Cricetulus griseus: one gene and its partner. The protein of the gene in region 2 purifies or fractionates together with the protein of the main gene of each other region. This does not show direct contact. Links are inferred from orthologs where the notes say so. Each region holds a gene or a part of one and is shown on either strand. Other genes may lie near its edges. The genes, in order: Col1a1 and P4ha2.

Region 1 (4,254 bases), about 40 Mb from region 2:
GAAAAACAAGAGAGAACGCATGAGAAATTGGGCTCAGGATGGTACAGTGAAGGGCAGGAGGCGTTGCCAGTAATGGGACAAACTGACATGGGCTTGCGGATGTGTTTAAGAGAGACAGCAGCGCTGCCTGTGCCAGACACCTCAATGGAACCTTCTAACCAGACAATCCCAAACTGCAGAACAATCTATAAAATAACTGCCTCTGCCCATCAACCAGACTCTTCAAACCCTTGCTGTGCCAAGGATGACAAAGAGTCTCAGAAACAGTCAACATTTGTGGGGCTCAAAGAGATGAGATAACAAAATGAAAATGGTGGTCTTGGACAAGAAGGAAAAAAAAAGATGCTATAAAGGAAATCTGAAAGTGGGTTGTATATTAGGCAATAGTGCTAGAGGAACTTTAAATTTGGTACTATGGTCCCCTGTTAAGGAAATGCACGTACGTGCTTTGGAGCATAGGGCATGGGCATGTTCTTGGTAATTTCACACACACACACACACACACACACACACACACACACACACACACACAGACAGGAGATAACTGTGTACTCGGTGGTGAAGGAGTTGTGATGAAGGATGAATGGAAGTTCTGGGCACTATTGCAACTTTTCTGTAAGCTTATGATTATTTAAAAATATAAAGTTATATCTGCAGAAATCAAATCAAATCAAAGCAAAAACCGGGAGTCACACAGGGCTGAGGTCTCCAAGCTCTACTTACTCCTCCGAGGCCAGCAGGGCCGGGGAGACCAGGAGGACCAGGAGGACCAGGAAGCCCAGGCTGTCCAGGGATGCCATCTTTTCCAGGGGGGCCAGCGGGTCCCTGCACCAAGAAAGGGCGGGGCTGCTATGAGCACAAACCAGAGCCACGCCCCCTCCAGTTTCCCAGCTCACTTAGAATGCAATGCTTACCCTTGGGCCTTGAGGGCCGCGGTCTCCCTTGGGTCCCTGTGGGTTTGAGGGTGAAGAAACAAGAGGCCGGTTAGAGAAATGAGGAAAATTGGAGTCCATAGGAGGGACAGTAGGAGTCATGGACGGGTGAGTGAAAACAGGGAGTAGAGTATTACCTCGACTCCTATGAGTTCTTGGTCTGGTGATACTGTGGGGGAAAAGATGTGAAGTTAGAAGTAAATTTGCTAAGGTACCTGAGGTGTTAGAGGCTTTCAAGACACAGGCAACGACGGGACTCTGACCTCCCCTAACTGTAGGCCCAGAACGTACCAAACTCTTCTGGGCAGACAGGACAGCACTCCCCTTCACGTTTTTGGGGGTTGACACAATCCATCTTTTCCTGGCACACCACGGCATCGCACACGGCTGTGCCATTGTGGCAGATACAGATCAAGCAGGTATCGGCTTTCCACGTCTCACCATTAGGGATCTTTACGCCATTGTGTATGCAGGTGATTTCAGGGACTGCGCAAATAGGGAAAGAGCGGCTCTAAGTCCCCACTTCGGGGCACCAGGGATCCCAGCCCTATTCGCCCTTTCCTCTGTCTTAGAGGCGCACGTAGGTTTTCCACTTCCCGCCTCCCGCATCCCCCACTCCCCATTTTCTTCCCTAAAACCCTTAAATGCTGGTCTGCTCCAAAGCGGCGTTCAGTGACAGCTCGGGGCGCCTGGCCAGGACAGCTATAACTTCCCAGCTCTCAGGAACTTAAACAAAGCTTTAGACTGGGGTTGCTTCCAAACTCAACTTCAGCCCACGCGCGCGGGAACCAAGTGAAATAAAAAGCCTTCTGCGGGAGAGTAGGAGGGATCCTATACAGTAGAACGGGGCCCGTGGGATGTGGTTTGAGCGCAAATAAGAGGCGGGGGTGGGAGGAGAGAAGGGGAGTTCCAGCCCTGGTCCCACCCCCATTCCCTGGGCAGGTGGGATGGAGTGGGAGGGGCTAAAATGTGGAGTGGCTGATCTCCGTGGAGTCCGGTCCTAAAGTTGGATACATCTTAACCCCCATGCTCCCAGGAATCTTTTCCCTCCCCAGGAATCTTAAAACCTCGCTTTCGAGACGAGCCAGCCAGTGCTTTGGCGTCTCTCCTTAACTAAAAAGAACTCAAGTCTACAAATAGTGATGATTAGTAAACCACGCCCACCGCTCTAGTAACGGTTCAAGGCAACCACTAGGTGGCGGGCAACACTAAGCAACGGACTGAGCGGAACCAATTTTACCCAGCCTGAGCCATTTCTTTTAAAGACTGGGGCTACCCCATGCCTGGTTTTATTTTCCCCGTCTGGAGATGGGGGTCCAAGCCCGGCAATAACCCAGATCTTCCCTCTTTAGCCCGCGCGCTATAAAGTGCAGTACCAGGACGCGTAGTGCTCAAGGCTGACCAGCAGGGGGCGCAGGGACCGCGCCCTGTCAAGTCCGAGCCAAACTTTCTCATCCAGCAACCCTCCCACTCCGTGCGTTCCCTCCCCCTGAGCCCAGCACCCCGGCGGCCCCAGCAACACTGTCTAGCCTGCAGAGAAGGCAAACAATCTTTCCTTATGAATCACCCCGCAGCCTCTTTGATAGCTTTTACATCTTGGGCTCCGAATCTCTATTCCAGCCGCCTTATTCCACCTTCGACGTACTCTGTCCCAACCCGTGCCCAGATTCCCACTTTTCCTGTTGTGCTACTTATGGGTGCTTGGAACTTACTCCTGAGCCACTTCACCCCACGTTCCACTTCTGAGAACCGCTCATCCTCATCTGCACCCCAGGGTGGCCTCTCTCCTCCCAGTTCCTCCCCATCACCTTCCCCACCTCCGACTGAAGCATCCGTTTAAGTCTCAATTGTCAGGACCCAGTGCAGAACGCGATACCAAGAAGCCGTGAACTCCCCAAAGTTTGGAACTTACTGTCTCCTTGGCCGTGCGTCAGGAGGGCAGTGGCCCCTAAGAGGAGCAGGAGCCGGAGGTCCACAAAGCTGAACATGTCTAGACCCTAGACATGTAGACTCTTTGCGGCTGGGGTGGGGGGTTAGCTTCGGCTCATGCGTGGCCTCACTCCGCGTGCCTCCTGCTCCGTCCTGAGGAGAAACTCCGGTCTGCTCCGACGACTGGCCTGGGCCCCTTTTATACCATCCTGAGGAGAGCTGGGAGGAACCCTGCCTCTTGGAGAGGGGGAGCTTGCAGCCCGGCCCCCAGCCAATCAGAACTGCCTGGCCCGGCCCCCAATTTGGAACGAAGAGGTGGGAGGAGGGAAAGAAAGGGAAGGAGTCCACCCAGCCCCCCCCCCCCACTTTGCAACTCTGCTGCCCCTGCCCCCCAGACCTACCCAGGCCAGAGATACTGGAGTATGACTGGGCCCTTGGTACACTGATTTGTGGGTAGGGGATGCCCCTTGCACTTTCTTTCTGGGACCTCAAATCAGAAGGATGTGAAACTGGGGATTTGAGTGGGGCAACATTATAGAAGGGTCAAGGTCAGGCATAACTGGGAAAACTGGCCTTGCTTTTTAATCTTTCTGACATCCTTGGGAAGGAATAAGGAATACACTGGACATGCACCTTTCCAAATCAGAGGAACCAAGTAGCTAAACAGAGGTGCCTGTTTCAGGCAGGGCGGGGGTCATCTCTTGGTGTGGCCCAGGTATGGAGGATAGGAATATTTGTGAACAAGTTAGATATCTCTTCATAGACACCAAGAATCAGATATGTGACTGCTTGAAAAGAGGGAGGGGGGGGAATAGTTGTCTGTTCTGCCATGACTGTGGCTCCAAGACAGACCAACTCCAGGTGTGACTGAGGGAGACAGCTCTGAGGCTGAGGCTTGGGGAGAAGCTTGACACCCTTGTCCTTCCAGAAGGAGGCTTAGGCATTAAGTGATAGGGAGCAGGGTAGGCTGGGGGATCTGTGGGGGCCTTAAAGCTATGGACTGGGGTTTGTTATATCAATTCATTCCCTGAACTCATCTATCCCCGAGTGAACTGAGCGAAGTGGGAAGTGAGTTTGTTAGGGGGAGGCCTGTGACCATGGATATCTTAGAAAAGGGTCTTGTATCAGCAGTGCTATAGCCAGGGATTGGTTAGAGGTCTCCCCGGGCCCATCATGTAGCAGTGTCAATTCAGAGAGAATGCATAGAAGGCTTTTCAGCATGGAGAGCTGTTCTCAAAGCAGCAGAGTTCATTTTTCTTATTGTACCTGTACTTGGTCTGGGGACACCTAGGTGAATTCAGTGTGTGGAGGGAACTTGTGCCTGGTAGCTGAGTGACTTTAAGTTTACTCTCCACAGGTTTCTTTGCTGGAAACCCTGGCCATTACTCTCCAC
Region 2 (3,808 bases):
AATGCCCCTCTTTCAGTGACCCAGGTTTTCTCCAAAGTGAGCATCTCCCTTCTTAACCCAGTGGCATTTCAGAGCCTTACTGTTGCTTTTCCTGTTACAGGAACAAAGTACCAGGCCATGCTGAGTGTGGATGACTGCTTTGGCATGGGCCGCTCAGCCTACAATGAAGGAGATTATTATCATACTGTGCTGTGGATGGAGCAGGTGCTGAAACAGCTCGATGCTGGGGAAGAGGCCACCATAACAAAATCCCTGGTGCTGGACTACCTGAGCTATGCTGTCTTCCAACTGGGAGACCTGCACCGTGCTGTGGAGCTCACCCGCCGCCTGCTCTCTCTTGGTAAGAAGGTTAGGGGCTGGAGCTAGTAAGGGAACTTGACCCTTCTAGCCACACTGCTTGGTCATCTCTTGGAACTAAATCAGTTTGATTGTCACTGACTAGTTCCTTACCTGCAGTCTTGAGGTTAGACCATATGCCAGGTGCTGATGGGTATTCAAAGGCCTGTGACATCTTGTGTGTGTGTGTGTGTGTGTGTGTGTGTGTGTGTGTGTGTGTGTGTTGCTCATGCATGTGCATAGGCTTGTGTGTGCAAGTGCCTGTGCACATGTGAGCACACTCTGTCACTTTTAAAAATAAGGACCTAATGTTGTGGTGTTTGTACCATTATGCAGGGTAGACCCTTCACTGTGTAAAATATAGATTGAGAAGCAAGCTGTCCTTCTGGATTGCTGCAGTGACAGTAATTCTAGCAATTAGTGGCCTGAGGTCTAAAGTAGGACTTAGCATGCCATTTGTCCCCTGCATGTCCTGTGATGTGGGACAGAACAAGGCCCGAAGTATTGTATCTTTAAAGCCTGTTCATTATACCTTTTACTAATACATGGGCACATTGTCTGGAACATCACAGAGCAGCGAAGACTTGACTTTGCCACTGCTATCCAGGGGCCCTGAATGGAAGGCCAGCTAGCATTTGAACATTGCACAAGACCAATGTGGGTAGAGGGTTTTGTAGGATCTGTCATGTGAGTTAGTAAGAGCCTTGGACAGGGAGTCAGGATACTCCAACTCTTGTGTGTTGTTTCATCTTAAGTCACTGGGCATCTTTGAGCTTCAGTTCTGTTATCTGGGGAATGACATAGAAATCCTGCCGTGGCTGTTGCTTCAGGTACTGTGTTGTCCACCAGAGCCGTGACTCTTCTATTTTTAAATAAAAGTTTATTACATTTATTTATTTATTTGTTGTGTGTATGAATGTGCAACTGCCACAATGTACATATGGTCAGGGGCCAACTCTAGGGAGTCAATTCTCTCCTTTTACACCATGTGGATCCTGGGTATTGAACTCAGGTTGTCAGGCTTGGGCAGTAAACATCTTTGCCTGCTGAGCCATCTGGCCTGCTTTGTACCTCTTATTTATTTATTTATTTATATTTATTTATTTATTTATTTATTACCAGTATCTCAGCTTGTCTTCCATCTGTAGCCAGTGTGTGATATGGTCACCAGACCTGGCTGCACTCTGGGGAATGGCTTTAAACAGCTACAGCCATTCACAAGGAAGAGGCAGAACTCTGGGAGACCTCCTGGAGTTCCTACAAGCTCTGTGTTCTATCTAACCCCTAGTCACTAGCTGAATGTGCTCCGCTTTAATGACACATCTCCTCATCACTTGACAAGATGAAAGATCCTCTGTTGGCTTTTCAGCTCTGGCGGATGCACCCTGGTTAGGTGCTGCAGCCAGCAGAGCATAGCATACCAATAGGCTGCTGGGAGAGGAACGGCTCACAGAACAGTTTCTGTAAATGACCTAACAGATGTTTGTGGTTTCCTTGCCCTCACTTTTCGCTTTTTCTAGACCCAAGCCATGAACGAGCTGGCGGGAATCTGCGGTACTTTGAGCGACTGTTAGAGGAAGAAAGAGAAAAATCCTTGTTCAATCAGACAGAAGCTGGACTAGCGACCCAGGAAAACGTGTATGAGAGGCCCGTGGACTACCTCCCTGAGAGGGATGTGTATGAGAGCCTGTGCCGTGGGGAGGGCGTCAAACTGGTGAGAGCTGGGGAGGGGCAGGTGGCCAGGCTGGGGATCTGAGTGCTGGCTCTGGGTGGGCAGCATGGGAAGTTCTGCTGTCTATTCTTCTTTTTTTTTTTTTTTCTCAGCGTCTGCTGAGGCTGGTGTGTATGTGTGTGGGGGAGAGGGGGGCTGTTCTCTGATGCATAGGACAGGAGATTGTCTCCATGGATGCTCCAGGGAGAATTGCTGTCCCCTAGGGCATTGCTGTACTCCCCATTCACCCCAGTGTGCCTACCTATCATTTGACTCATTAGTTTGAGGGAAATGATGGGAATAGATATGCATTAGGTCCCTGGGAAGTCATGGTGTAAATGACAAAAAAGACCCAGTGGTAAAAAAAGGCAACACTTGCAGGGGTTTGGTGTCTGTGTCCCTGGCTTTTGAGAGCCCTGGTTCCACTGATCCTCACAGCTCAGTATGAGGGAGGCGCTCACCTTTCCTGTGCTCCCGATTGGCTTCTGATTGCTCTCCGTCTAGAAAGGCTTCTCCCCATCGGCTTCAGGCCGATTCAGATCTCTATGAGCAGGGTCAGGAAGTGCCTCTGTCACAGAAATTGTGGAGAGAAGGGGAGCTGCATGGTTTGTGTGAGGTCAATTCCTACTCTGGTTTTCTTCTGTGGTGAAGCTGAGGACAGCCTTGGCCGTGGAGGGTGAAACCAGTGTGTGCAGACAGCTGGGCTGGAGCTGAGGGTAAGAACTCACTCTGCTCTGTGCTCCCTAGACCCCCCAGAGGCAGAAGAAGCTTTTCTGTAGGTACCATCATGGTAACAGGGTGCCACAGCTCCTCATCGCCCCCTTCAAAGAGGAAGATGAGTGGGACAGCCCGCACATTGTCAGATACTATGATGTGATGTCGGATGAAGAAATTGAGAGGATCAAGGAAATCGCGAAGCCCAAAGTAGGTGTCTCTGGTTTTGCTGGGGCACTGAATGGGGTGGGGTGCAGTTCCTCCTGCTGCCTCTGTGGGGCAGGTTGACTGTGCACCAATTCAGGCTCACCAATAGCTAGTGTGAGTTGGGCTCATATGCTGTGGACTTGGGCTGACATTGTTGGTTTGTGATCTAATAGAGAAGAAAAAGTAGGGAACAGGCATGATGCAGGTCATGTTGAGAGCAGGGCATCTCAGTGGCAAATGCCATTTCACCAGGTTGAAGGGCTTGTGCATAGATCTTTTAGGAAATGCATAGTCCTGGAAAAGTGGAATCCGTGGAGCTTCTGATCAGGACTGCAGTGAGGGGTGGGGGCTGCAGTGAGGGTGGGGGCTGGGGGCTGCAAGGGGTGGGGGCTGCAGTGAGGGGTGGGGGCTGCAGTGAGGGGTGGGGGCTGCAGTGAGGGGTGAGGGCTGCAGTGCGATGATAAAGACTGCAGTGAACTGTTTGACTTGGAGGAGGGTGTACATCTGTGCAATTCCTTATAATCTTTACTTATTCATGTTTAAAATTTCAGTTCAAATACATTTCTTACTAAGCTTATCCCTCATTTTTTTTCTTTGTAAATTTTCTTCTTGTGAGTATTTTAACTTGTTGCATTAGTGAATGTTAGTTCACTATTATATGCTAAATTTTTGGATAGCATTTCTTTTTTATATTGGGTCTTATGTAGTTCAGGCTGTCTTCAAACTTTTTATATATGTATATATCTAAGGATAACCTTCTGCCTCCACTTCCCAGGAGCTAGAATTACAGCTGTAAAATATCATTCCTGGTTTATGCAGTGCAGCCAATCAAACCCAGGG

Evidence for each region.
Region 1: the proteins of P4ha2 (region 2) and Col1a1 purify together in Homo sapiens (co-immunoprecipitation; 3 studies listed by BioGRID and IntAct, counting the BioPlex papers as one, with this or other methods). This does not show direct contact. The link is inferred for Cricetulus griseus from reciprocal best matches to the Homo sapiens genes P4HA2 and COL1A1.

What each region holds. Positions count from the first base shown.
Region 1 is NC_048600.1:108,118,466-108,122,719, reverse strand, and holds the start of Col1a1 (collagen alpha-1(I) chain), read right to left. Parts: upstream 3,044-4,254; 5' UTR 2,921-3,043; coding exon 2,845-2,920; intron 1,419-2,844; coding exon 1,224-1,418; intron 1,102-1,223; coding exon 1,070-1,101; intron 951-1,069; coding exon 915-950; intron 826-914; coding exon 724-825; intron 1-723. UniProt on the Homo sapiens protein: Type I collagen is a member of group I collagen (fibrillar forming collagen).
Region 2 is NC_048600.1:68,286,445-68,290,252, forward strand, and holds part of P4ha2 (prolyl 4-hydroxylase subunit alpha-2), read left to right. Parts: intron 1-100; coding exon 101-340; intron 341-1,856; coding exon 1,857-2,050; intron 2,051-2,794; coding exon 2,795-2,971; intron 2,972-3,808. UniProt on the Homo sapiens protein: Catalyzes the post-translational formation of 4-hydroxyproline in -Xaa-Pro-Gly- sequences in collagens and other proteins.